Linked DNA regions of Stegostoma tigrinum. The protein of the gene in region 3 interacts with the protein of the main gene of each other region in a pairwise test. Links are inferred from orthologs where the notes say so. Each region holds a gene or a part of one and is shown on either strand. Other genes may lie near its edges.

The links.
Region 1: the proteins of alas1 (region 3) and ppl interact in binary tests that used the Homo sapiens proteins (3 or more experiments, as listed by UniProt). The two-hybrid records come from large-scale screens. The link is inferred for Stegostoma tigrinum from reciprocal best matches to the Homo sapiens genes ALAS1 and PPL.
Region 2: the proteins of alas1 (region 3) and poldip2 interact in binary tests that used the Homo sapiens proteins (3 or more experiments, as listed by UniProt). The two-hybrid records come from large-scale screens. The link is inferred for Stegostoma tigrinum from reciprocal best matches to the Homo sapiens genes ALAS1 and POLDIP2.
Region 4: the proteins of alas1 (region 3) and dusp19a interact in a two-hybrid assay, tested with the Homo sapiens proteins (3 studies listed by BioGRID and IntAct). The two-hybrid records come from large-scale screens. The link is inferred for Stegostoma tigrinum from reciprocal best matches to the Homo sapiens genes ALAS1 and DUSP19.

What each region holds. Positions count from the first base shown.
Region 1 is NC_081376.1:46,890,306-46,897,750, forward strand, and holds the start of ppl (periplakin), read left to right. Parts: upstream 1-4,441; 5' UTR 4,442-4,667; coding exon 4,668-4,711; intron 4,712-7,445. UniProt on the Homo sapiens protein: Component of the cornified envelope of keratinocytes. May link the cornified envelope to desmosomes and intermediate filaments. May act as a localization signal in PKB/AKT-mediated signaling.
Region 2 is NC_081380.1:48,677,743-48,684,584, reverse strand, and holds the start of poldip2 (polymerase delta-interacting protein 2), read left to right. Parts: upstream 1-3,833; 5' UTR 3,834-4,042; coding exon 4,043-4,176; exon of another isoform or gene 4,177-4,277; intron 4,278-6,063; coding exon 6,064-6,145; intron 6,146-6,842. Other genes in the region: tmem199 (transmembrane protein 199), read right to left, coding at 3,158-3,341. UniProt on the Homo sapiens protein: Involved in DNA damage tolerance by regulating translesion synthesis (TLS) of templates carrying DNA damage lesions such as 8oxoG and abasic sites.
Region 3 is NC_081364.1:23,022,392-23,029,775, forward strand, and holds the start of alas1 (5-aminolevulinate synthase, nonspecific, mitochondrial), read left to right. Parts: upstream 1-4,365; 5' UTR 4,366-4,708; intron 4,709-7,384.
Region 4 is NC_081360.1:40,834,837-40,842,217, reverse strand, and holds the start of dusp19a (dual specificity protein phosphatase 19a), read left to right. Parts: upstream 1-4,379; 5' UTR 4,380-4,626; coding exon 4,627-4,849; intron 4,850-6,588; coding exon 6,589-6,635; intron 6,636-7,381.

The DNA.
Region 1 (7,445 bases), on a different chromosome or scaffold from region 3:
CATTGATGACCATGAAAACTGTTGCAGATTGCCAGGACTACCCAACTATTTTACTAATGTCTTTTCGAGAAGTATATGCAGGTCATGATTTCACAGCAATGTGGTTGATTCCAAACTACCCTCTGGACAATTAATGGTGGTCTATCGCATGATACCGACATCCCATGAACGAATAAAAAGCAACTCGTGCGTACAGATTTGGCAACTTCACCTTATATTTTTGTTGCATTGAAGAACATCTTGAAGGTGAAACTGTGAAGCTTTTGCAGTGAATGAAAAGTTGAAGATGAAGCATGTAAGGGTTTGGAAAAGCACACGATGTTGCCGGGTATGAAAGGTTTGAGTTATAGAGAAAGGCTGGGTAGGCTGGGACTTTTGTCGCTGGAGTGTGGGAGGTTGAGAGGAGGCCTTATAAAATAACAAGGGTATGGATACAGTTGATGGTAGCTGTCTTTTTCCTAGGATGGGGGAACTTCAAGACGAGGGGCACATTTTTAAGGTAAGAGGAGAGAGATTTGAGAAAGAAATGAGGTGCAATTTTTTTTACACAGACTACGGTTTGCACATGGAATGCAGTTCCTGAGGAAGTGGTGAATGTGGGTACAATTACAAAGTTTGAAAGACATTTGGATAAGTACATGAATAGGAAAGGTTTGGAGTGATGTAGGCCAGGAGCAGTCTTTTGGTTCTCGATCCTCCACCAATGGGAACAGCTCCTCCCTGTCAGGAAGGGAACCAATTCATGGAGGATGGAAGCTGACGAGGTGACAGAGAGAGAATCGGAATACCTCTGCCTGGAGATCTGAAGAAAATGTGGAAAAGTTTCAGTAGCAGTTGGGCTGAAGTAGGGATTGAGGTGAGCCATGTCAGGGGGGTGGTAGTGCCAGGTGTTTGTCAATGGAGGGAATGTTGCATTGTTAGACTTTGCTTTCAGAATGGCTTCAAGTTTTGTCTACATAACTGAAGGAACTACTGCTTGGGATGATTGAGTGAAGGGTTTTGAGAAGTTTTGATTACTAAGGCGTTGTGTAGGAATTTTTTTTCTATTCTTTTCTGGAATGTGGGCATCACCAGCTGGGTCAGCATTTCTTCCCCATCCCTAGTTGCCCCTTGAGAAGGTGGTGGTGATCTGCCTTCTTGAATCGCTGTAGTCCTTCTCTGTAGGTTGACCCAAAATGCCATTAGGGACAGAATTCCAGGATTTTGGCACAGCATCAGTGAAGGAACGGTGATATATTTCCAAATCAGGATGGTGAGTGGCTTGGAGGGAAACTTGGAGGTGGTGGTGTTCTCATGTATCTGATGCCCTTGTCCTTCTAGATGGAAGTGGTCGTGGGTTTGGAAGGTGCTATCTGAGGATCTTTGGTGAGTTTCTGCAGTGCATCTTGGATATAGTACACACTGCTGCTACTGAGTGTCGGTGGTGGAGGGAATGGGTGCTTGTGGATGTGGTGCCAATCCAGTGGGCTGCTTTGTCCTAGACTTCAGTTTATTGAAAGCAGTCATATATTACAGGCTGTTAGGACATCTACGACATAAAAGGTACAAAATAGGGCTAAGGGTTGTCCATTTTAACCCTCCATCCTGCTCTGCTGTTCAATAAAATCATGGTGGACATAGCTGAGGCCTTAACTTCACTTCCTATGTGCTCTCCATTACCTTGGCTCGTTGTAGATCAAAAAAATCTATCTAACATAGATGTACATTTAATAGTCTATGGCTCTCGGGAGTAGAGAATTCCAGAGATTAATGAACCTTGGAGAGAAAATTTCCTTTCTCATTATGGTCTTAAATGGGAGACCCCTTTCACAGAGTCAGAAGTGTTACGGTCTGGAAGGAAACCATTCAGCCCATTGTGCCTACGCAAGCTCATTAAATGAACATCATTACCTCATGCCAATTTCCTGCTTTTTCCCCTGTACTCTTGCATGTTAATATTGTACAAATAATTATTCAATGCCCCCTTGAATGCCTCAATTAGAAGATAGAACATTACAACACAGGAACCAGCCCTTTGTCCCATAAATTTGTGCCGAATGTGTCACCTAAAATAAATTAATCCCTTCTGCCTGCCCTTGGTCCATTTCCCTCCATTTCTTGCATATTCATGTGTTTATCTAAAAATCCCTTAAACATCCCTATCATATCTGCCTCTACCAATCCTGGCAGAGCATTCCAGGCTCCTACCACTCTCTGTGTAAAAAAAACTTGCCCCTCCCATCTCCTTTGAACTTGTCTCCTCTCACCCTGCCCCCCTGCATTAGACATTTCAACTTTGCGAGAAAGATTCTAACTGTGAACCTTATCTATCCATCTCGTAATTTTATAAACTTCTATCAGTTCTCCCGTCAGCCTCTGCTGCTGCAGAGAAAGTTACCTGAGTTCTTTCTAGCCTCTTGTTAGATCATAGCCTCTAATCCAAGTAGCGTCCTGGTAAACCTCTCCTGCACCCTGTCCAAAGCCCCCACGTCTTTCCTGTAATGTGGCAATCAGAATTGAACACAATACTCTAACCAAGGCTTAGCCAAATTTTTATAAAGCTGTAACAATTGAACCTGCCTCCACCACATTTCCAGGTGTCCTCCACCAACTACTCATTGACTGAAAATATGTTCCTTTGCCTCACCCTTGCTTCTTTTAGATTAGATTCCCTACGGCGTGGAAACAGGCCCTTCGGCCCAACAAGCCAACACTGCCCCATGCAACATCCCACCCAGACCCATCCCCCTATAACCCACACACCCCTGAACACTATGGGCAATTTAGCATGGCCGATCCACCTAGCCTGCACATCTTTTGGACTGTGGGAGGAAACCGGAGCACCCGGAGGAAACCCACGCAGACATGGGGAGAATGTGCAAACTCCACACAGACAGTCACCCGAGGCTGGAATCGAACCTGGGTCCCTGGCGCTGTGAGGCTGCAGTGCTAACCACTGAGCCACCCTGCTGCCCAGTTCACTTAGAAAAACATAGGAACAGGAGTCGGCCATTCAGCCCCTAGACCCTCCTCGGCCACTCACATAGATCATGGCTGATCTGTGGCCTAACTCCATTTACTTGCCTTTGGCATATATCCCTTAAATACCTTTGCTTCACAAAAAATTTACCTATCTCAGGCTTAAAATTAACAATTGATCCAGCCTCCAATATTTGTGGAAGGGAGTTCCAAATATTTGCGACACTTTCTTGTAGAAGTACTTCCCAGTATCTTTCCTAAAAGGTCTGACCCTAATTTTCAGACTAATTCCTTATTTCTAGAATCTTCAGCGAGTGGAAATAGCTTGTTTTTACCTACCCAGTCTTTTCAAGCTATAGAGTCATGGAAATGGATTCTTTAGTCTAATTCGCCCGCATTGACCAGACATATCAACTTGACCTAGTTCCATTTGACAGCATTTGGCCCGCGCCCCTCTAACCCCTTCCTATTCATGTACCCATCTAGATGCCTTTTAAATATTACAAATGTACCCACCTCCACCACGACCTTTTGGCAGCTCGCTCCACACATGCACCACCCTCTGTGTGAAAAAGGTACTTCTCAGGTCCCTTTTAAATCCTTCCCCTGTCACTTTTAACGTATGCCCTCTGGCATTGGACTCCCCCACACTCGGATAAAGACCTCGGCTCAGAGATAATGGGAACTGCGGATGCTGGAGAATCCAAGATAATAAAGTGTGAAGCTGGATGAACACAGCAGGCCAAGCAGCATCTCAGGAGCACAAAAGCTGACGTTTTGGGCCTTGACCCTTCATCAGAGCTCTCTGATGAAGAGTTTAGGCCCGAAACGTCAGCTTTTGTGCTCCTGAGATGCTGCTTGGCCTGCTGTGTTCATCCAGCTCTACACTTTATTATTTAAAGACCTTGGCTATTCCCTCATGATTTAATAAACCTCCACAAGCTTACCCCTCATCCTCCGACGTTCCAGGGAAGAATGCCCCAGCCTATTCAGCCTCTCCCTATAGCTGAAGCCCTCCAGTCCTAACAACATCATTTAAAGTTAAGCAGATAGGAACTGTGTTCAATATTTAAAGGGAGTATACTCCATTGTCCCAGATACACTCTTCACAGTAGATGCCAAGAAAAAGTAATGTGGATAATGGAAATCAGAAACAAAAACAGAAAGTGCTGGTAAAGCTCATCAGATCTGGCAGCATCTGTGGAGAGAAATCAGAAGTTACACTTCAAGCCCAATGATCTTCTTCAGAATTTACCTGGGGGCCAGGTAAGAGCTGGGAGGTGCCAAGCCAGCCACCAAAAGCAACTGGAGGGCTGAGGGGCGTGGTCATTGTCTGCCAATCAAGGCGGGGTTGCCGTGCAACCATAGAAGGGCGGCCAATGGGAATGCAGAGGGGGCGGTGTCGATACGGTGGGCGGGTGTTGCGTGGCTGCACCTGTCAATCAGCTGCTGGAAGTCTCAGGTAAATAGTGTGGGAGAGGCAGAGGAGGAGGTTATAGGTGAGCTCAGCAGCTCGGTGTGTATCTCCCTCACACATACACACACTTGACACACTCTCTGTAGTGTTACTGGAGCAAAGAAGTCAGAGCTCTCTCTTTATCAACTCTTCAGAGAAAGGGAGCGAGGGTTAGAGAGAGAGAGAGAATAAAACTGCGTCTGTGGGGGATAAGGATTTTTATCGTTTCCTCGTGAAACCAGGGACTGCCAAGATGTTTAAAAAGAAACCCAAGAATGTAACTCCCCCCAAAACCAAGTAAGTGTTGTCGTATATATTTATACTTGTGCCTTTTTTTAAAAGAAAAGCGCATTTTATTTATGGGTAACTATATGTTCTATGTTTTGCATGCCTTTTGAGGACCTCTCCCATATAATCCAAAAACAATCAATAAGTTTCTTCTTTTTTTCAAAAAACAATCTGTGATCTGCTTGTGGCTTTCTTAATTAAAAGCTGCTTTCAAGTTCAGGAGGGGAGGGTGTGTCAGCTGAGGTAACTCTAAGAAGTCTGATTAAAGCAGGAATGAACAACGTGAAAGGTTCTGATGCTGAGATTTAAACATCTGTCCACATTGTTTTAATCTCCAATATGAACTGTTAAAAGGACTTTGCAATGTATTTGTTTGACATGAATACTTTAGACTATCAATCTGCAGCCCAGTCAGTATACTGTAGATGAAATATTGCTCACACGGACTGATCACACATTGCTTATTTTGAACTTCTATTTTAGTTTATTACACAATTTTCTGACCTGTTTTCATCTGTATTGTGGAATCCCAGTGACTTATTGAGATGGGTGGAGTTTAATCCTCTGCGCAATGCAATTTAATAATCCTCAGTAAAAGTGTTAAAGGTTTTTGATAATAGAATGAAGCCTAGCAAATGCCAAAGCATTTAAACCTCTGACCGTCAGGCTAATTCAGTAATCAGGTCCAGCAACTCCTAATATCTCTGTGACTTCTGACGTTTTGCATAACAAAACCAGCTTCTATACATGGTCTGATGGATGAACTTCAAGCATAATCACAAAATTTAAAAATATTTCCTCCAGGGTAAAGCTGATGTGTTGAATTACCTTCCTAACATGCAGCAATTTTAAAATCCCTACAGTACGGAAGCAGATGAGCCCAAGCCGACTCTTCAAATAGCATTCCGCCCAAACCCACCCCTCTGCCTTATCCCTGTGACTCTGCATTTCCCAAGGCTAGTCCATCTAGCCTGCGTATCCCTGGACACGATGGGCAATTTAGCATGGCCAGTCCATCCTAACCTGCACATCTTTTGACAGTGGGAGCTTTTATCACTCCCAGCAGGAAAATTAGTCTACTTGTCACCAGAAACTTCTTCTGAATGATAACGCACATTTTGACAGAATAATGGTGTCACTGTCCCACTTATGGATTAAATTATCTCAAGTGTGGAAGAGTTTATCTCCTAGGCATGGGGTTAAAGCAACTCATTTGTTCTCTGGATGCACAGATGACATGGGAAACATTATAAATATTTCCAACCATTACAATCAGCCGTTTGGTTCTATAGTATTTGAGTATGGCTGGTAAATAAGACACGTTTGTCAAAGTTTTTTTGTCTCGCACTCATCAGCAGAATAGACAAGAAATGTAAGATAAAGTTGCCATAGTCCTACCTTCCATTAGGGAGAGGGATTAGGTGGTGATTTAACCTGAGGGTCACCACACCTCAGGTGAGGGGAGGAGTTGAGAAGGCCACTCAGCTGGTGCTAGGAATTGAACCCACAATGTTGGCATCACTCTGAATCATGAGCAGCCAACTGAGATAACCAACTCTGACACAATACACGCCTGATGAGCAGCTTTGACGAAATGTGCCTTTTTGTCCAACAATATTATTATCACTGTCTGCCGTGCAAAGTTCTGTATTGGGACACGTTGAATAGCAAATTCTGTAATATCGAGCAAAATGTTTTTGTTTGCAAATTGTATGAAGTGGTTAATTTTTGGGGGAAAACAGCACTGGATAAATTCCAAGGTTGATTTTAAGAGGGAATAACACTAAAAGCTGAATATGTTGACAAATGGTATTAATGTTTAAATTTAATTGCCTTGGGATGCTACTCAGAGCTGTATTGTGAGCTGCTGATGTTGATGTTTTTCAAAGGAGTGCAAAAGAAAGCCAGCCAGCATTGAAACACAATAAGTAGTTTGTGGCTTGTGCAGAGTCCTTGAGAATACTTAAGCTGTGATGGATTGTTAGATGGATTCTTGATCAGTAGGGGAATCAAGGATTGTGGGGAAGGGCAGGAAAATGGGCGTGATGTATGTCAAATCAGCCATGATCCTATTGAATGGCAAAGCAGGTTCAAGGGGCTGAATGGTCTACCTCTGTTGCTATTTCTTTATGGTTTGTTGATTGAAAGTGAGATGGTGGATACTATCTTTTTGGATTTTGAAAAGATAGTTGATGCTGTCTGCTTTTAAAAGACGGATTTTAGTTATAGGTAATTCCTTTAATCATTCACGGGATGAGGGTGTCACTGGCCAGGCAGCATTTATTGCCCGTCCCTAATTGCCCAGAGGGCAGTTAAGAGTCAACCACATTGCTGTGGGTCTGGAGTCACATGTAGGCCAGACCAGGTAAGGATGGCAGATTTCCTTCCCTAAAGGACATCATTGAACCAGATGGGTTTTTCCCAACAATCGGCAGTGGATTCGCGATCATCATTAGAGTCTTAATTCTGGATATTTATCGAATTCAAATTCCACTATCTGCTGTGGCAGGTTCGAACCAGGTCCCCAGAACATTATCTGGGTCTCTGGATTAACGGTCCAGCAACAATACCACTAGGCCATCACCTCCCCCAATTGTATGCTCAATGTTTTACATACCTTTTGAGGACCTCTCCCATCATAATCCAAAACTATCAATAATATTATTTTGTTAGCTTTTCAAAAAAAAAATCTGTGATCTGCTTGCAGCTTTCTTCATTAAAAATTGCTTTCAATCTCAGCAGG
Region 2 (6,842 bases), on a different chromosome or scaffold from region 3:
ACCTTCAGGTGATGTCACAAAAGGCAGCATCTCGATGAGAAACTAGAGGAAGGTTGTCAAACAAATCATGAACACTTGGAAGCGAACACATCCTGAGTGAGACACAGCCAAAGCACATGGGGATTTCTGCGAATTTGGAGTCGAAATTCAGTGCAGAGGTTAAGTGGTGCTTTTTGCCTTTTCTTCTGTGGTTTGTAGTTTGTAAGGACTTTATTTTCTAGTAATGAAGAACAGGGAATATAGGCTCTGAAGTAATTGATATTAGTTGATATTAAGCATTTGAACCTAAAGGCTTAATTTGAAAGGGGTCAGTCATGGCAGTGGAGCTCAAAGCCACACTGTGCTGTTCCAGTTTCCAGGATCAGCACATGTGCAGGAAATGCCTCCAGCTGCGGCTCCTGCAAGTCCCTTTGTGCTGTTCTACAAGGCCTAGAGTATCATGGACAGCACATATAGAATGGTGGTCACATCACAGGCAGGAAGGGAATGGGTTACCACAAGGCAGAGAAAGAAGGCAATGTAGGAGTCTCCTGTGGCTACTGCCATGCAAAACAGACTTAACACTTTGGATACTGATGACAGGAATGGCCTCACAGGGGAAAGCAGCGAAGGCCAAATTTGTCGCACCATGATTGACTCAGCTGCATAAGGGATAATTAAAAAGTGTGGGAATGCAATTCAAATGTAAGGGGAATAAACAGGTGTTTCTGTGGCCACAAACCAGGATAGTATGTTGCTTTGCTCCTGCCAGAACAAGGAAATCTCAGAGGAGCTAAAGGCCATTCTGGAGGGCTAGGTAAACAGCCAGTAGTAATGGCACACATTGGTACAAATGACATAGGTTATAAAAAAATGAGGTCCTAAAAAGCAGAACATACAGAGCTAGGAAATAAGTTTAAAAGTAGGACCACAAAGGTAGTAACCTTAGGATTAAAATTAGGTTTTCAGATCATAGGGTCTTGGGGCTGGTTCTGGGGAAGGTACAATAGTACAAACTGAATGGGTTACTTCTGGGCAGGGTGTCCCAGGGCAACATTGAGTTGAGTGGCTAGGATGGCTTTAAATGAACACAGAACATTGAACATTACAGCACAGTACAGGCCCTTCGGCCCTCAATGTTGTGCCGACCTGTCATACCGATCTCAAGCCCATCTAACCTACACTATTCCATGTACGTCCATATGCTTATCCAATGACGACTTAAAATGTACCTAAAGTCGGTGAATCTATTACTGTTGCAGGCAAAGCGTTCCATTCCCTTACTACTCTGAGTAAAGAAACTACCTCTGACATCTGTCCTATATCTTTCACCCCTCAATTTAAAGCTATGCCCCCTCGTGCTCGCCGTCACCATCCTAGGAAAAAGCCTCTCCCTATCCATCCTATCTAACCCTCTGATTATTTTATATGTTTCAATTAAATGGAAACTTGTGTAAGTTGTCAGAGGAAGCGGAATCAATGACAAGAACAAAACACAGGAAGGGGAAACAAGAAAAGTGATTGACTAACAGAGGAAGCAAAGGCCGTGCTCAAACTGGACAAGTAATAGTAAAAACACAAGCCTCAACACTTTGTACCTTCATCCACAGAGCATACACAATCAAGTGAACAAATTAATTGCACAAGATAAAAACAAATATAATATAGTCAGGATTATGGAGACATAGCTGCCAGGAACAGGAACTGAATAACAACTGAGAGAGAATTGTCCTGGGAGTATTCATCATTGACCAAGGACCCCAGGAACCTCCTGCTGATGACCACATAACAACGTCCCTCAGCTGATGAATCAGTGCCCCTCCACGGCGAACAACACTTGCACGAAGCACTGCAGGTAGCAAGGGTGCAAAATGTACTCTGAGTGGGGAATTTCAATGTCCACCGTCAAAAGTGGCTCAGCAGCAGTACTACTGATCACGCTGGTCAGGTCCTAAAGGACATAGCTGTTAGACTGGGTCTATGCCTGGTATTTGAGGGAATTAACAACAGGGGAAAACTTACTTGACCTCATCCTCACCAATCTGTTGGCTGCAGATGCATCTGCCCGTGAAATTATTCGTAAGAGTGACCACCTCACGGTCCTTGTGGAGATGAACTCCCACGTTCACTTTGAGAACAACCTCCACTGTGTTGTGTGGCACTATCACTGTGCTAAATGGAACTGACTTCAAACAGGTCTAGCAACTCAAGACTGTGCATCCATGAGGTCCCATTTGCCAGTTTTTGTCCCCTATCCCCCAAACCCTTCCTATTCATGTATCCATTTTAAAAGATGCCTTTTAAAATGCTTCAAATCATACCACCCTCCACCACTTCCTCTGGCAGCTCATTCCATACATGCACCACCCTCTGTGTGAAGAAGTTGCCCCTTAGGTCCCTTTTATATCTTTCCCCTCTCACCCTAAACTTATGCCCTCTAGTTTTGGACTGTCCTACCTCGGAGAAATAAACATTTCCTATTTACCCTATCAATGCCCCTCGTGGTCTTATAAACCTCTATGAGGTCACTCCTCAGCCTCCAATACTCCAGGGAAAATAGCCTCAGCCTATTATACCTCTCCACATAGCTCAACCCCTTCAACTTCAGCAACATCCTTGTAAATCTTCAAAATGTCAGAAGAACTGTTCCAAATCTGGGCATGCGGTAATTTACTAGCTAGTATCTAATAAACAGCAGCCATTGCATTCAATGAAAACTGAAAGAAATGAAGATGCTCTAAATCAGAAACAAAAACAGAAGTTGTTTGAAAAGGTCAGCAGGTCTGATGGCATCTGTGAAGAGAAATCAGAGTTAACGTGGCCAAGCAGCATCTTAGGAGCAGGAAAGCTGATGTTTCAGGCCTAGACCCTTCATCAGAAATGGCCTTTTCTGATGAAGGGTCTAGGCCCGAAACGTCAGCCTTCCTGCTCCTCTGATGCTGCTTGGCCTGCTGTGTTCATCCAGCTCTACACCTTGTTATCTCGGATTCTCCAGCACCTGCAGTTCCCATTATCTCAGAGTTAACATTTTTGAGTCCAGTGACCCTTCCTCAGAACTTCCATCTTCACAAGATGCTGCAAGACTGCTGAGCTTTTCCAGCAACTTCTGTTTTTGTTCCAGCCAGTATATTCAGGCTGGTTAACACAGGGGTGACAATCCCAGAACTGGATGACTCACCTTTTTCTTGTAAGAATTTGTGAAGTTTTCTTAGCAGCTCGAAGGAGACTGTGCAGGGGGAATGGGCTTTGCCGAGGCAGGATTTGAGTTCAGAATGTAGATCCTCAGGGATAGAATGACCCTCTTTCAGGACACGGTCGAGTTGCTGCTTGAAGCAATCCCTGACCTTCAGAACACACGCCATTGTCCCCAACCTGAGCAAGGAGATAACCTGTAAATAACGACTTACACACCGACTTTAAAAAGCTCGACAATTATTTGAAAAGAAAATTCAATGATAAGTAATTACCTCCTAGGAATTTAACGATTTCATTATAGTCCTTGAGCCACAGAAACTATTCCAAATAGTTAAATATAATGAGTCTTTTATGAGGATTTGAAGAATGAGGACATTATTTTGCACAATCATTTATAAACAGCGATGAAGCTTGCTAATGGGAGTATTATTATCATAATACTCGCTTATTATACAATATAGTCACTTTTGCCGCCCAGACTGAATGTCTTGAGCATTAAATTTTACAATTTTTTTCAGATAATGAATAAAAAAACACCCCCCCCCCCGCATTATTTGACACAAGCTACTGTTGCGGCTCTGACCTTGAATCGGCGGCGCAGGCTTCAAGCCGCGCTAGGCCCCGTCTCCATGGCAACCTGCCAGACCGCAGCCGCCATCTTTGTTCGGGGCAGAGTCCCGGGATCGGGGCAAGAGACAGAGAGAGGCTGCCCGCCGCCTGCCGTCCCCGGGGGAGACAGAGAGATAGGGGCCGCCCGCCGCCGAGGGGTCTTGGCCTGCAGTAACGCCGTAAGAAAGCGGACTCGGGTATTGCCCATCTCCGAGGCCGGTTCGAGTTGTATGTGCTGACCGTCGGGCCTGCAGGATCGATGGCGGGCCCGGCTCTGAGCCGCTGCCTCTCGGCCTTGGCCACAAACCCCGCTCTCCGGCTTCGGGCCCTGACCGTCTGCTCGGCCTGCGGTGTGGGCCAGCGCCAGCAGCACGCTCGGCTCCTGTCGTCCAGGTAGGAAGGAGGCCAGGGACACAGGCCCCGGGCCTGGGGTTGGGGATCTTCTCTGTTTTCAGAATCCGCGGTTCCTACACCTCTGGGACATTCCCTGACAGATTTATCTGCTGCACCAACCAGTAACGTGTTAACAGCTGGAACTTTAGTGAAGGGCATAATCAATATTGGCAGGTGACACAAAAATTGGAAAAAGCAGGCGCAAGTAGTTGGATTGGGGAGATAAGTGACAGATTCAGTTTAATGTAAAGAGTTTAATGTATATTCAATGCTTCTGTGAGTTTGTAGATGGTTTACTTTGGTTGTGAGAATATGGAGAGCCATCATAAGCTAAAGAAAACAATTCTAAAGAGAATCAGGAGCAGAGTGACCTGGGGTATAAAATCATTGAAGGTGACAGGACATGTCGAGAAAGTGGGGAATAAAGCACCTAGAATCTTGCACCCAGCAACAGGTCACAGCAAGCTGTGCGTGGGATCCGGGGAGAGAGCAGAGGGTGGTGGATTCGGAGTGCAGAGGTGTAGGGGCATGAGGCAAGGCTTGAACCCAGTGAGGAGATGACGGGTCTAGGCCCAAAATGTCAGCTTTTGTGCTCCTATGATGTGGCTTGGCCTGCTGTGTTCATCCAGCTCCACACTTTGTTAGCTCGGATTCCCCAGCGTCTGCAGTTCCCATTATCTCTGGGGATAAGGATGGATCTGGACACTGCCTTGGGCAGGACATGGGAGAGATTGAGTGGGCTTGTACTCATTGGAATTTAGAAGAATGAGAGGTGACCTTATTGAAACATGCCACACAACTGCCAGGTAATGACCTGCTCCAGTACGAGAGATCTAACCACTGTCCCTTGACATTCAACTGTGTTGCAATCACTGAATTCACCCACTGTCAACATCCTGGGGGTTACCAGTGACCAGAAACTGAACTGGGCTACCCACATAAATGCAGTGGCTACAAGAGCTGGTCAGAGGCTAGGACTACCTGTGGTGAGTAATTCATCTCCTGACTCTCCAAAGCCTGTGTACCATTTACAAGGCACAAATCAAGCATGTGGTGTAATACTCCCCACTTGCTATTCCAAAAACCCTCAAGAAGCTTGACACCATTCAGGATAAAGCAGTCCACCTAACTGGCACTACATCCACAAATGGCCACACTCTCCACCGCTGACACTCAGTAGCAGCAGTGTTTACTTATCTACAACATGCACTGCGAAATAGCACCTTCCAAATCCAAGACCACTTCCATCTCAAAGGACAAGGGTAGCAGACATAGGAACATTACCATCTGCAAGTTCCCCTCCAAGCTGCTCGCCATACTGACTTGGAAATTTATCGTTGTACCTTCACTGTTGCTGGATCAAGATCCTGGAACTTACTCGCTAATGGTATTGTTTGTGAGCCTACATCCCAGGCATTGCACAGGTTTAAGAGGACAGATCTGTACTACCGTCTCTGGGGCAATTAGGGATGGGAAATAAATGCTAGCCCAGCCAGCACCTGTCATAGCCCATGAACAAATTTCCCAGCGTCTGACCTGCTGTTGTAGCACCAGTATTTATAAGGCTAGTCCAATTCAATTTCTGGTCAACAATAATGTCTACGATGTTGATGGTGGGGAGAGTGCCATTGAACGTCAGAAGGTGATGGTTAGATCTTCGATTGTTAAAGATGGTCATTACCTGTCATTTAAATAGCACAAATGTCACTTGCCTTTGAATGGCTGTATACTCCATTAAATTTTCTTATTTTCTGGGAGTGGCAGTATCATGTGCTGTGCAAAAAGGTGGCTCAAGCAACTAGTACTTTGGTGACTGATTGGGGATTGCAGATTGTCAGCGCTGTCATTGAGGTCTGTTCTGAAGTCCAGCTTCGTTTGTCTTCACAGGAATCGTCCTGAAGGCAAAGTTTTGGAGCCAGTTGGAGTGTTTGAGGCACTCAAGCAACAAGGAAAATATGAAACAGGGCAGGTAAGAATTTGAGTTGAACTTTAAAATTACTGTGGTTCTAGGGGTGGGAGTGGGAGACAGACCCACTCCAGCATCCTGGGGTTGGCACGGCAGCAATAGGCCCTCCTGGGGGTGGTAAGTGGCAACAGAACCACACAAAGACCCAGGCTCTTGGATGTGAGTCCAACCCTCTGTCTGCTCCACTTTGTGGAATTGGGTAAAGGGCGCAGACATTGGCTGCTTGTGTGGATTTATACTGAATGAACCTGCCCGTTGCTTGATGTTTTGGAGAATGTGAGGGGATTTAATTCAAACAAAGCTGATTCTGGGACTATTTGACAGCTTGAATATTGGAATGGGTTGAGTTCACAGTCTCAGGTTATGAAGTTCAGCTATTTCAGACTAAGGTGAAAAATGTCTTGATTCTGAGAGTTGAGTCTTTGGAATTCTTTTTGCGAGGAGTGCTGTAAACATGCAGTTAGAGTTTATTCAAGATTGACACTGAGATACTTGGAGGAAGTGATGGTGTAATGGTCACGTTACTGGACTAGTCATTTACAATCCAGAACTAGTGTTCTGGGGACATGGGTTTGAATCCCAGCAAGACTGTTGGTGAAAATTAAATTCAATTAAAAAAAATTTGAAATTACAAAAGCTTTTCTGATGGCAACCATGTAACCATTGCTGATTGTCATAAATATCCATCTGGTTTACTAAA
Region 3 (7,384 bases):
TTTAAACATGCTACCTAAAACAAGTTGCTTAATTTCAGTTAGCAATTGAAGATCTTAAATTGGCAGATGAGGCTTGATTTAGTTGAAGAAGGGGAAAAAAAATGTTGATTGGTGCATATTTATTGGAAAAGTGGGTGATCGGCACAGAAGCCCAATGGTACAGGATAATGTTGTGGAACTGTGGGTTTAAATACAGCCATGGCAGCCGGTAGCATTTTAATTTAGGTAGGGATGAACATAAAGGTGCCGTACAAACAATTGACTGGATTTGATGTGATAATGGGAACTGCAGATGCTGGAGAATCCAAGATAATAACATGTGAGGCTGGATGAACACAGCAGGCCCAGCAACATCTCAGGAGCACAAAAGCTGACGTTTCGGGCCTGGATCCTTCGTCAGAGAGGGGGATGGGGTGAGGGTTCTGGAATAAATAGGGAGAGAGGGGGAGGCAGACCGAAGATGGAGAGAAAAGAAGATAGGTGGAGAGGAGAGTATAGGTGGGGAGGTAGGGAGGGGATAGGTCAGTCCAGGGAAGACGGACTGGTCAAGGAGGTGGGATGAGGTTAGTAGGTAGGAGATGGAGGTGCGGCTTGGGGTGGGAGGAAGGGATGGGTGAGAGGAAGAACAGGTTAGGGAGGCAGAGACAGGTTGGACTTCTCTTTCGATTCCTCCCACTTCCTACAGACAAAGGGGGTGGCCATGGGCACTTCCAATTCCCTGGCCCCCAACACCTCATTTTCACCATGGACGTCCAGTCCCTATACACCTGTATTCCACATGCAGATGGCCTCAAGGCCCTCCGCTTCATCCTGTCCCGCAGGCCCGACCAGTCCCCCTCCACCGACACCCTCATCTGTCTAGCCGAACTCGTCCTCACCCTCAACAACTTCTCTTTCGATTCCTCCCACTTCCTACAGACAAAGGGGGTGGCCATGGGCACCCGCATGGGCCCCAGCTATGCCTGCCTCTTTGTAGGTTACGTGGAACAGTCGCTCTTCCGCACCTACACAGGTCCCAAACCCCACCTCTTCCTCCGTTACATTGATGACTGTATCGGCACCGGCTCTTGCTCCCCAGAGGAGCTTGAACAGTTCATCCACTTCACCAACACCTTCCACCCCAACCTTCAGTTTACCTGGGCCATCTCCAGCACATCCCTCACCTTCCTGGACCTCTCAGTCTCCATCTCAGGCAACCAGCTTGTAACTCATGTCCATTTCAAGCCCACCAAATCCCACAGCTACCTAGAATACACCTCCTCCCACCCACCCTCCTGCAAAAATTCCATCCCCTATTCCCAATTCCTCCGCCTCCACCGCATCTGCTCCCAGGATGAGGCATTCCACTCCCGCACATCCCAGATGTCCAAGTACTTCAAAGACCGCAACTTTCCCCCCACAGTGGCCGAGAATGCCCTTGACCACGTCTCCCGCATTTCCCACAACACATCCCTCACACCCCGCCCCCGCCACAGCCGCCCAAAGAGGATCCCCCTCGTTCTCACACACCACCCCACCAACCTCCGGATACAACACATCATCCTCCGACACTTCCGCCATCTACAATCCGACCCTACCATCCAAGACATTTTTCCATCCCCACCCTTGTCTGCTTTCTGGAGAGACCACTCTCTCCGTGACTCCCTTGTTCGCTCCACAGTGCCCTCCAACCCCACCACACCCGGCACCTTTCCCTGCAGCCGCAGGAAATGCTACACTTGCCCCCACATCTCCTCCCTCACCCCTATCCTAGGCCCCAAGATGACTTTCCGTATTAAGCAGAGGTTCACCTGCACATCTGCCAATGTGGTATACTGTATCCATTGTACCCGGTGTGGCTTCGTCTACATTGGGGAAACCAAGCGGAGGCTTGGGGACCGCTTTGCAGAATACCTCGCTCAGTTTGCAATAAACAACGGCACCTCCCAGTCGCAAACCATTTCAACCCCCCCTCCCATTCTTTAGAAGACATGTCTATCATGGGCCTCCTGCAGTGCCACAATGATGCAACCCGAAGGTTGCAGGAACAGCAACTCATATTCCGCTTGGGAACCCTGCAGCCCAAAGGTATCAATGTGGACTTCACCAGCTTCAAAATCTCCCCTTCCCCCACCGCATCCCAAAACCAGCCCAGTTCGTCCCCTCCCCCCACTGCACCACACAACCAGCCCAGCTCATCCCCTCCACCCACTGCATCCCAAAACCAGCCCAGCCTGTCTCTGCCTCCCAAACCTGTTCTTCCTCTCACCCATCCCTTCCTCCCACCCCAAGCCGCACCTCCATCTCCTACCTACTAACCTCATCCCACCTCCTTGACTTGTCTGTCTTCCCTGGACTGACCTTTCCCCTCCCTACCTTCCCACCTATACTCTCCTGTCCACCTATCTTCTTTTCTCTCTATCTTCAATCCACCTCCCCCTCTCTCCCTATTTATTCCAGTTCCCTCTCCCCATCCCCCTCTCTGATGAAGCGTCTAGGCCCGAAACGTCAGCTTTTGTGCTCCTGGGATGCTGCTTGGCCTGCTGTGTTCATCCAGCTTCACACTTTATTATCTCAAGTTTAATTGGCTGGGATTTGGCAATTAGCACAACTCAAAAATTCTAGAGTAAAAAAACCTGTACGAATTTAACATGAATTCCACTGGGTGTATTGTGTAACAAAGTTAAGTGGAAATGTGTTGATTTTCACGTTCATACTTTTGCACTGATTTAATGTTTTCTATGGCAAACAGTGGTGGCGTGTTGTACTAGTAGTTTGTTTTTTTTTTAAAAAGGCATGATTTGCAAATGAAAGAAAAGCAATCCCTGGACACCCATACGTGATGACTTGACAGCAATGAATTTGTAATGTACTGACAGGCTCGTTCACATTTTTCACAACACTGGGGCATCCAAAGCCCTTTGTAACTTCCGGGGTAGTTTTTAACTGTAATTAATGTTGAAACTCCGTAGGTTATTCGTTCATTATTATTGCATCAGAAGTTGCTTGCTAACTTCCCCTTGCGTCAGTATCTGAACACGTACACTTCCAGCAATTCCCCAACGATCAGGATTGGAGTTCCCCCTTCCCCGCTCAGTTGCTATTCATGTGAAATGAATTGGACACAGTCCAAGTCTCCGCTTTGAAAGTTTAAACAGACTTGTTTTGGTCTGTCTCTTAGCATTAAAAAAAATGATTTCTCTTGTTTTGTCCCTGTGTGAGGATTAAGTTAGTGAATTGTAGCATTTTTCATTGCCTTGTGTCAGTGAATGAACAAATTGCATATGCATCACTCCAGAGATCAGGTACTAAAACATCACCAGCACGTGTCACTCAAGTTTGGAGGAAAGTGTATATGATTTCGCAAGCCCTCTTGAGATATCTTCATATTGTGTGAGTGAGTGCTGGAAAGGGTCATTGTGCAGAGTACGTACAATTAGGGGGCCTTTCCTGCATTATCTTGGCCTGGCCCTGGACTGTGAAGTGGCAATGCACTCGCGACTTTCTGTGACCCATCTGCATTCCAGCCCGAGAGAGTAGAAAGGATGATCCCTCAAAGAAAGCAATTTCTTCTCGAGCTGTTGGGGAGTTGACATGCAACTGTGCAGGTCGTCACAAAAAATTATATAGTTAAGCCTGAGAAGGTGGTGCTGTGACAGTAGTACTGTCAATGAGCTAGCAATCCAGAACCACAACACTAACGTTTGGCTTCATGTGGTGCATGCTATGACATGTACAGGCTGCAATGGGATCATGTTCTTTAATCCGTTCTCAAGTTGACTTGTACTCCAGTCTGAACGTGATTGTAGGACAATATGAAATAGCTTTCTTTTAAGTACAGGAAATATTTGTATGTCAGATGTTTAAAATTACACCTTAGTATGGGATCATGTTCATAAGTTGGATGTTTGCAAATTGGGGGGGCCCCAGGATATCAACAGGTTAATTACAAATCTGGTTGAGGAGGTGGTGGTACAGTGGTAATGTCACTGGGCCAATCATCCACAACCTCCTGGTGATCTAAGAGCAGAAGTTCAAATCACACCAGGGTGAATGCTGTTAAAGGGGAGGGACGGCAGTTGTGCCACAACGGTCCCGTGGACCCAGGTCCAAATCCCAGAGGTATGTTTGTTTGTCAACCCACGGGAACAGGATGATCTGAAAGAACATCTACACTAGAGGGCGCATGAGCTTCAGAAGGTTTGAAGTCAGTGGGCGGGGACAGGTGCGTGGATAGGGGCGGAGCAATTTGGGGAAGGGGCGGAGATAGCTGGGAAGGGGCGGGGTCAAGGGCTGGGGCGCGGTCGACTGGAAGGTGGGACTGACGGGTGGGGCGTGGCGGACGGGGAAATCTCGCGATATTCGTCTGCTTTGCTTAATGTTATTACCGGCGGTGCCGCGCGGCTTCTCTTCAGTTCGTCCTCAGTGCAGGACAACGAGAGCGAGCGACCCGGTTACAGTCAAGGTGGCCCTCGGCGTAGGACAACAGCGGGAGAGACCGAGCTATTTACAGTCCAGTTCGTCCTCAGTGTAGGACAACAGCGGACGGGACTGAGACTATTACAATCTAGCCTGGCTCAGTCGCACACCGCACCGATAGCCGAGGCATAAGAAGTTGCTGGAAAAGCTCGAGCAAGTCTGGCAGCATCTGTGAAGAAAAGAAATCCGAATTAACGTTTCGGGTCCGCCGACCCTTCCTCAAAACCGCTATCCGTAGCATTAATAACTGGTAAGGCACAGACATCTGTCGGTGTTTTCTTCCAAATGGGATTTGTTGGCTTCCTGCCTATCCGCGGCGACTAGGCCCTGTTATCCCGGTTACTCCGGCTGTGCTGCTGCCTGCTCCACAACAGGGACAAGGAGAGGGAGAGGTTCCCTTTTGCCTGGGGGATGGGATGGGAGGGGAGGAGAGGCGATAACCTTTAAACCAGCTTTAGCCAAGCAGTAGATTTATGGGCTCGGACTTCACGGGGTCTCCGAGGTGGGCTCCTGTGTCGTGCTTCATGTTCTCTTGTTTATGAAGCTGAAATGTTCCTCAGTTTTTTTCCAAACAAATGATCAGCTTGTTGATTCTCTTCCGCTTTCCGTCCTTTCACGTATACGGGAACTGTGGCTCTGTCAGGAATCATGGGCCCAACTGTTTAAAAATTGAGAAATGTTGGGGTTTTTTTCCGGGTTTTTTTGCCCTACATGGAATAGATCAAATTCTTTCAGAGGCGGATAAAGGTCATGTAAAATGTTAGGACCGCTCAGCTGATTAGGTTGCATTTGTAACGGTGGAATACAGGTGAAGAGTCATACGCCTGAAATGTGGACTTGGCTCCATTCTCCACAGGTGCTACTGATTTGAGTCTTTTCCAATGCTTTTCTGATTCCTCTGTAGTTGATGTGCTACTTATTGTAAAACTCACCTACTTTGTGTTTTAAATGAAGTGTCCTTTTAGGAAAAAAGGATATATATTTGCCAAACTTGTACCTGTTTATGTTGAGTACTCTAATGTCAAAATGTGCTAATCTTTAAAGTGCATAACTACCTGCCATACTTGTATTCTTTAGATGAATTTACAGGAGTCTGATATTCTATTTTGTATTCTGTTCACAATGCAGGGATTAAATAAACTCTACCTGAAAGTGTATACCTGCAACTATGAACTAGTTTATGGAGAAATACATTAATTTCTTGCTTAGATGTGTGATATCTATGTGTGAGAGCATAGATAGGTTATATGATTTTTAAAAGAATTTGAGGGTGAACAACACAATAATGCAAGCTTTGTCTTGTAAAGAAAATGCTTTGACTGCAAAGCAGATATTTTCAATGAACACTAATTTCAATCCCTAACATTAATTTCTGTCAGTGGCTTTGCACATTTTTTAGCTCAATTTTACAGCTCTTTTGTGGATAATTCACAATTTCAGTTGTGAACTGATGTTAGCACTTCCAAGCTATTTTCAGTTTTGAAAACATAGAAATTTTAATATGCCCAATGTCTCATTCTAGTTCATTGGTTAAAATAAGTGATATTACTGTGTCAAAATGCAGCTACTGTGAATGTTGCTCTTTAATAACACCGTTTACTTCCCTCTGACCTATTGTCACAGTTTTGAGAGCTATGAATAATAGACTTGCTCATCATGTTGCATCATAACATCATCAATCTGCAGTAAGATACAGTAGACTGGTCCTTTGTGACTCTGGCAGTTCCACAAGCTAATTGAAGGAGGAAATATATTGCAGAAAGTTATAATTATCCCTACACTTGTAATTTTGCATTTGACTGTACTATGTTTTTGAAATGGTGCGAGAAAGATACTGTAGGTGGGGTCTGAGCTTTGTGCTGTTTATGTGCACATCCAACTTGGATGCCATTAGACAATCTAAATAGATACAGTATACTGTTTCCTCCTTCACATTTGCCAGAAGTCTGGCAACAGAAAGTTTCAACATCCTGTTATGAGCCTATATTTCTAATATTTGGATTTTATTTTTGAATCGACTCAGATTTCTTTTTAAATGTTGAAGGCTCCCATTAGATAAACATTCTAAAGATTTGAATTCAACAATAGTCCAGTAAATCAAGATGTTAGAGCTTAACTGTTGTGACTAACTTAGAACAACGTGCAATTGATACAAATTCTGAAAAAAAAATTCTCAATGTAGCCTAAACAATGGTAGGATATTACCTTATTGGAGGTCTTTCAGGTCTCAAGTTCCTGGGAGTAGCTTATTTACTGTAGTATTCTCTACAAAAGTTGACTTTGTTTTCACCCCTGTTATCACTTTCAACCTGAGGGATCATTTGAGACGGAGCTTGTCTGACTGAGCTATAACTGAATCTTGCTTTAGAGATTACCGCTGACAGAAACATTAAACAGTTAGTAATCAGGCTTGGGGAGTGGGGGAGGGGGGTGGTAAATATCTAGAAAATGTGAGATTGTGGAAATTCTAAGTGGAGAAGTTTTAAAAAGTGGTGTTTTTGTTTGATCTGTCATTGGAATCTCTTGTTTTTAGAATCCCTAGGATCCAAGGAATTTCAAGAGTTTGAGTTAAAAATTGAATGGGCTTGAGATTTTCGCAACTGCCAGTTTTAAGAAAAAAACTCTGGAATATTTCCTAGTAAAATAGAATTTGAGCTCATTTACTGTAAATCAGTGGCCTTGGAAATTAAAAGACTGTTTAGTGCAGCTGGCGACTGGTACGGCTCCATGAAATCCTCATTTAAACAGGAGTTTAGCTCATTCAATTATCTGACGCCAGAGTGTCCGTAATTTATAAGAAATATTGAGAGATTGATCTGACATTGGTAAAACTAGGAGTTGTCACTTTATTTTCTTGTCACAAAGGTTCCAGTTACACTCAGGTTATTTTTACAGCAGGGTGAGAGGATAAAAGCTTGAAATTTTT
Region 4 (7,381 bases), on a different chromosome or scaffold from region 3:
TTAAGTTCACCACATCCCCTTTGTCCATGACAGGATATTTTCAATTCCTTTCCCTCTCACTACATCTACATGCGGGTCTGAAGTTCATAGCTCAGGGTGGAAGGCCCTGAATTGTGGTTCTCCTTGTTGACCTGGGAGACTTGGACTGTCATCCTCTGACGCCTTTGGGCCTAAGGGCCCCATTCCCCCTCTTCATCTTGTACTGTGGCAGACTTTGGGATTACATGTGGGGGAGATTCAGGGGCCAGGCACCTCTGGAGTCTGCAGAGAAGAAACCTTTGGGGTGCCTTTGTGTCACTCCTCCACCATCTGTGTGCCTGTTTCCCTGAGAGGTAAGGACACCTGGCATACCATCAAGGTCCCTCTTGTTATTAATGCTGGCAAAGATTAAAACAATGAAGTTTAGGTTTGAGCATGTATTTGCAGAGACTGAGCATTCTGCTGGATCTGGCTCTCCAAAGTGCTTACCAAGATTGGCATGGAGGTAGCCAGATGCTCACAAGCTGGAGTCAATGGAGTAGAGAATACTTATGGAATCCTTTATCCGTTGATCTGGCTTACTCACTGTGTCTGACATTGCTGCCTGATTTTCTGTGCAGACAGAGCAAGTCATTTATGGCTTAGAGCAAGTGCACATCTTCTGCCTGGGCCAGAGACCTCTGGTAGTTAACCCTCAATCAGTTGTAGATATGTCTTAGTATTCTGTATAAAACATTGTGCCTCCTGAGTCTAATCTAAATGGAGCACCCACTGAGATGGAAGTCTTTGAACTGGTGGAGCGTGCAGGTGAAGGTCTTGCCAGTGTACCTTCTGAGGTTTGAGCCTCCTCCTCCTCAGAAGTGGAGGTGCAGCTGAGGGATTTTGACATTGGTCACCCTGTGGAACTTCACTGGGCACCCCTACTGCCTTCAAAAGAAAATAGGAAATTAGTTGTTGGGGATAGAGCCACAACTGGTGGAAATGGGAGAACAACACAGCACATTGAAGCTTACTGTGTTTGTTGCCCACTGGTGCCACCCTTCAGGATACCCTACATGAGTCGTTCTGCTTTGTTCTAGCCAAGTCCAGAAGTTCCTCTTCATACCAAATGAGAACCTGATGTCAGCTGAGTTGCAATGTAATTTCTCCTGCGATGAAACAAAGGGTGAAATTGAGTATGATGTAATTAGATGCAACAGCAATTAGCGGTGATTCATGACCAGGAGAAGAGGCAGAAGGCAAGCGAGCTTATGGTTGCAGTGGATGAGGTGGGTAAGGACCTTGAGTAGACATGATGTATATGATGTGTGCCCAGTGGCATTGCTAGCATGAATACAGTTTCTTGCATTGTGAAGCGGAAACATAGAAAACAGAAAATAGGAAAAGGTATAGGCTATTGAGCCCACTGAGCTTCTTATCGGAATGTGAGAATGGCAAAACAATGGTGTGTCTAACTGCCAGGCTGGAAAGAACAGAAAGTCTCAGTGGATTGTGGGGGAGGGGAGAAAGGGCACAGCGTCGGAGAATGCTGCAATGCTCCAGCGAATCACAGCAAAAACTGGAGGAGCAATATCTTACGCAGTTTATAGCCTTTTTGGGCTCAATGTTGAACTCAACACCTTCAGATTGTGAACACATTCCTTCCGTTTCTTTTAGCTTTGCTGGTTATATAAGCTTGCTTTCTCTCCATGGTTGCTGCCTGACCTGCGCTGTGATCTCCAGCATTTTTTTTGTTTTTAGTCTCACCCCACAACCCTTGACGCCAATCTGTAAAAATCTATATCTTAACAATATCCAGTGAATTGACCCCTTTTGTGGTAGAGACTTCTACAAGTTCACCATCCTCTGTGCAACAACATTTCTCCTCAACTCAATCTAAAATGGCCTACCATGTATCCTGATACTGTGATCCCCTGTCTGGAATCCCAGGCCAGGGGACACATCATCCCTGCATCCAGTCTGTCCAAGCCTGTTAGAATTTTATATCTTGTTTTGATCGATCAATTCTCATTCTTCTAAATGTGAGTGAATACAGGCTCAGCAGACCAAATCTCTCCCTATATAGAACATAGAACTTAGAACATTACAGCACAGTACAGGCTCTTTGGCCTTCGATGTTGTGTCGACCTGTCATACCAATCTGAAGCCCATCTAACCTACCCTATTCCATGTACATCCATATGCTTGTCCAATGACGACTTAAATGTACTTAAGTTGGCGAATCTACCACCGTTGCAGGCAAAGCGTTCCATTCCTTTACTACTCTCTGAGTAAAGAAACTACCTCTGACATCTGTCCTGTATCTTTCACCCCTCAATTTAAAGCTATGCCCCCTCATGCTCGCCGTCACCATCCTAGGAAAAAGGCTCTCCCTATCCACCCTATCTAACCCTCTGATTATTTTATATGTCTCAATTAAGCCACCTCTCAACCTTCTTCTCTCCAACGAAAACAGCCTCAAGTCCCTCAGCCTTTCCTCGTAAGACCTTCTTATAATGCGGTAACCAGAACTGTACGCAATACTCCAAGTGCAGCCACACCAGAGTTTTGTACAGCTGCAGCATAACCTCTTGGTTCCGGAACTCGATCCCTCTATTAATAAAAGCTAAAACACTGTATGCCTTCTTAACAGCCCTGTCAACCTGGGTGGCAACTTTCAAGGATCTGTGTACATGGACACCAAGATCTCTCTGCTCATCTACACTACCAAGAATCTTACCGTTAGCCCAGTACTTTGCATTCCAGTTACTCCTACCAAAGTGCATCACCTCACACTTGTCCGCATTAAACTCCATTTGCCACCTCTCAGCCCAGCTCTGCAGCTTATCTATGTCTCTCTGTAACCTACAGCATCCTTCAACACTATCCACAATTCCACCGACCTGGGTGCCGTCTGCAAATTTACTAACCCATCCTTCTACGCCCTCATCCAGGTCATTTATAAAAATGACGAAGAGCAGTGGACCCAACACCGACCCTTGCGGTACACCACTAGTAACTGAACTCTAGGATGAACATTTCCCATCAGCCACCACCCTCTGTCTTCTTTCAGCAAGCCAATTTCTGATCCAAACTGCTATATCTCCCACAATCCCATTCCTCCGCATTTTGTACAATAGCCTACTGTGGGGAACCTTATCGAACACCTTGCTGAAATCCATATACACCATATCAACCGGTTTACTCTCATCTACCTTTTTGGTCACCTTCTCAAAGAACTCAATAAGGTTTGTGAGGCACGACTTACCCTTCACAAAACCGTGCTGACTATCCCTAATCAAATTATTATTTTCTAGATGATTATAAATCCTATCTCTTAAAACTTTTTCCAACACTTTACCAACAACTGAAGTAAGGCACACTGGTCTATAATTACCAGGGTTGTCTCTACTCCCCTTCTTGAACAGGGAAACCACATTTGCTACCCTTCAGTCGTCTGGCACTATCCCTGTAGACAATGACGAGTTAAAGATCAATGCCAAAGGCTTGGCAATCTCCACCCTGGCTTCCCAGAGGATCCTAGGATAAATCCCAGCCAGCCCAGGGGACTTATCTATCTTCACAGTCTGTGGGATTTCTAATACGTCTTCCCTGTGAACCTAAAACGCACCTAGTCTAGTATCCTGCATCTCATTATTGTCCTCGACAACATTGTCATTTTCTAGAGTGAATACTGTCTCAGTTAAGCCACCTCTCAACCTTCTTCTCTCTAATGAAAACATCCTCAAGTCCCTCAGCCCTTCCTCATAAGACCTTCCCTCCATACCAGGCAACATCCTAATAAATCTCCTCTGCACCCTTTCCAAAGCTTCCACATCCTTCTTATCATATAATATAATATAACAAACCTCTTATCCCAGAAGTCAGTCTAGTGAACCTTTGTTTACACTCCCTCCATGGCAAGTAGATCTCTAAGGTAAGAGATCAAAATGGCACACTTTTATTCCAGGTGTGATCACAAAGAAGGCCTGTACATCTATAGCAAGACTTTTCTGTGCCTATACTCTCACCTTTTCGCATAGTACTCCCATTTTCGTGTTTGACACCAGATTTTATGTAGTTGCATTTCTAGGGCTATGAGTTTTAGTTACTGTTGATCTCACTGATATATTTAAAATTCCCATACGATTAAATATCTTTGTTTTATAACTTCTCAATTTGGATAGATACGTCTTCTGGAATACATCTGAGATAGACTGCCTGTAAAGAGAATTTCCCAATCCCACAAATTATTAGTTGCACCTCCGTTATCATGTTGCATGTTCTCAGTTTTCCGAAACAATTCAGCGCATACCCTGTATAGTCCTGACCAAAGCGAAGCAACTAACTGTGGTCTTCCTGGTGTAGGTGGCAGTAGGCTTGGAGTCGTCGGGTTCTGCTTTATTTATGTTACTAACTCTGGAAGTGTTGTGGTTGGCGTTTTCACTGATGCTTTGCAAGCGTGCAAAACAGGGAAATGAACAGAGAATGTATTGTGAAAGTACGCTTGATTTAAATATGTTTAGGTGCAAGTAATTTATTTGACACTTGTTCAGTTCAGTGATTACTGTGTGTGGTAGCATTCTTTGATAATTTCATTTCAGTGTGTTAGCACATTTTACTGCCTTTCCTCCCTGTTGTGTGACTTGTTTCTCCCATTGAAATGTGATGTATTCACTTGCCGATGAAATCAAGGCTTTCTCAAAGGCTTCGCTGAAGAAACAGAGCACCAGAGTAACAACCATTACTGGGAAAAGACTTATTGAAACACTGAGAGACGCTCGAGTGCAGATAGTGGAAGATGCTCAACAAACGGATGGAGTTTGCGGATATGTCGAGGACACCAGCCTCGATCTGAAAATTGGTGTTGTCAAGTCCTGGCTAATGCTCGGTGAGCTAAAATTAACTGACATTCTCTAAAGCTTTTGTTCATTGTAGTCTGACTACTGCATCGTTTTCGCAGGGTATTGAATTCCTGCATTCGTTTTGATTATTGAAGGGGAAAAGTAAACTTCTTGAAGGCTGACATAACAATGTGTAGAGCTGGATAATTTATTATCTCAGATTCTCCAGCATCTGCAGTTCCTACTATCTCTATTCTTGAAGGCTTTTTTATTTTCAAAATAAATGATTAATCACTTTAAATATAATTGCAACAATGCTGAGTTATCTAAGAAAAAAGGATACTGTGAAATCAAATATGCAAATTTATGGGCACTAATCACATAATAGGATGGATGCACATAGCCAGTAGGGTCATTATATACCTGTACAGGTATAATCTATGGTGAGAATGCATTCCAAGGTAATATTTTTTAAGTTGTGCCATTTACTTTTTTTTGTTGTTTGTATAAGTACTATAAGTGAACTGTTCCTGTGATTTTGAGTAAAGATAATAATAAAACAATCATAATATAAATAAGAGGCTAAAGTAACATTTAAAAGGGAGATAGAGATTTTACTTTTCCCTCTGATGGCCTCTGTCTGTGGAATTTCCTTCCCCAGAGAGCAGGGGAGGTTGGATCATTGCATAAATTCTTGGTTGACAAGGGAGTCAAAGGGTATGAGAGTTGACAGGAAAGTGGAGTTGGGGCATCAGCCATGATTACATTTGATGGCTGAGCAGACTGAAGAAACTGAATGGCCCATTTTTGTTAACCCATATGTTTGTATGTATGTGGTAACATGGTGTGGACCTGGAGAAACACAGCAGGCCTCGTAGCATCAGAGGAGCAGGAAAGTTGATGTTTTGGGTCAGGACCCTTCTTCAGAAACTACTATCTCTGTTTGTATACATGCATTTGTTTCTGATTGGGGCAGAGTTGCTCTGGCAGAGCGTTCTACTACTTATTAAATTTTATGATCCTTTCTGTAAGGATTATATTTACCTTTCTTTCAGTATTTTCCCATAGTCTGAGAAATAGGAGGCCATACAATCACAACCTTGTTCTTCCTATCGAGACATAGATTTAAAATGATTTGCTAATTTGTGCAGTTTCTTTCACAAGTAAATGTTATTGTTGTCAAAATTTATCTGATTCATTTTTGTGTACCAGACTTACCTAAGTAACTGCTGATGCAGTATTATATCATGAGACTTAATTTACCGGACAACTTTCAAAAGGTCCTGTAGATTCAGTTCTTTTTTTGGTGTCAGTAGCTGGCATGATTTTTGCATATTTAGTTCAAAGTACATTTAATAATAAAATTTAATTTTTAAAAGATTCTTGGTGACTTGTCATAACGTGAACCAATCATTATAAATTTATAACAATTTACACTTAGAACTGGTGATTAATATTTGCGCCACCCCCCCATAGCTGATTCATCATTTTCAGCAGGACCTACTTTCAGCTTGTGTACAATAATATGGAAATTCTATCCACCACTTCGATAATCCTGTTAGTGTTAAGTATATCGCCACTGTAGAAAATTGTTCTCTCTTCCATCCCCTTTGGAATCATGTTACTGTTTACTGTTAATTTCCAAACGTAAAAGAAAGCTGCATAAGGTATCCTGAATAACTGTATCCTCATTTTGTTCCTATGTGGACATTGACATCTTATTCCTCTCCATAATTCCTCAAAATTAAGAACATTGCTGACTTTTTTGCATTTAATTTTCTTCCAGCATCCCAAGATGTGGCACATGACTATGAAAAATTAAAAGATTATAAGGTAACATGAAAATGCTTCAGATGTTTAGGTAGTGTTTCAGTAAAAGAAAATTTTGGACTGTCAGCAGTGAACTACAGAACAAGACTTATGCATATACTCAGCTAATGGTACTAAAGTGCATTTTTGTAGGAGAGCAGGGACTGCTCCATTTGTAAAACTGGTCGTGAAATCATTACTCAAGTTGGCTTTGAGCAGCTAACATGATTTAGCATTTGTGATGCCTGGGGACAGGTAAGGTTGTCAATTATTTCAGCGGCAGTTGCTGAGTAACTTGGAGGTCTGGGAGAATTTTTTATAAATTGTACCCCCAATCGAAACTTGGAACTACCAAGTTAAATCAATAACATTAGCTCTTCTGAAGGCATTGCCTAGTATAGTAGTGTCACAGAGAACACAATGTCTCCTTGCAATAACTGATCAATGATGAGTGAGGTGATCTTAACTGAATTGCAAGTTCAGCAATGGATCCTGGCACTCTTTGCTTGAGGAATTGAAAAATATTCAGGTTTCTCACTCCTGACTGCTGTTCACGTATGCTGTGAGTACTTCCTTATTTCCTTTATATAAAACAGCAAATGCTGGAAATACTCAATGCATGAAGCAGCATCTGTGGAGAGAAAACTTGATGTGAGTGTCCTAGGTTGATGGCTTTTCATCTCCTTATTTCTCTTATTATTCACACCTCTCAGCCTGCCTCCAACTTTGGCTTCTGAAAAAATATCTGCTCCAGACAACTGCTCCTCCAC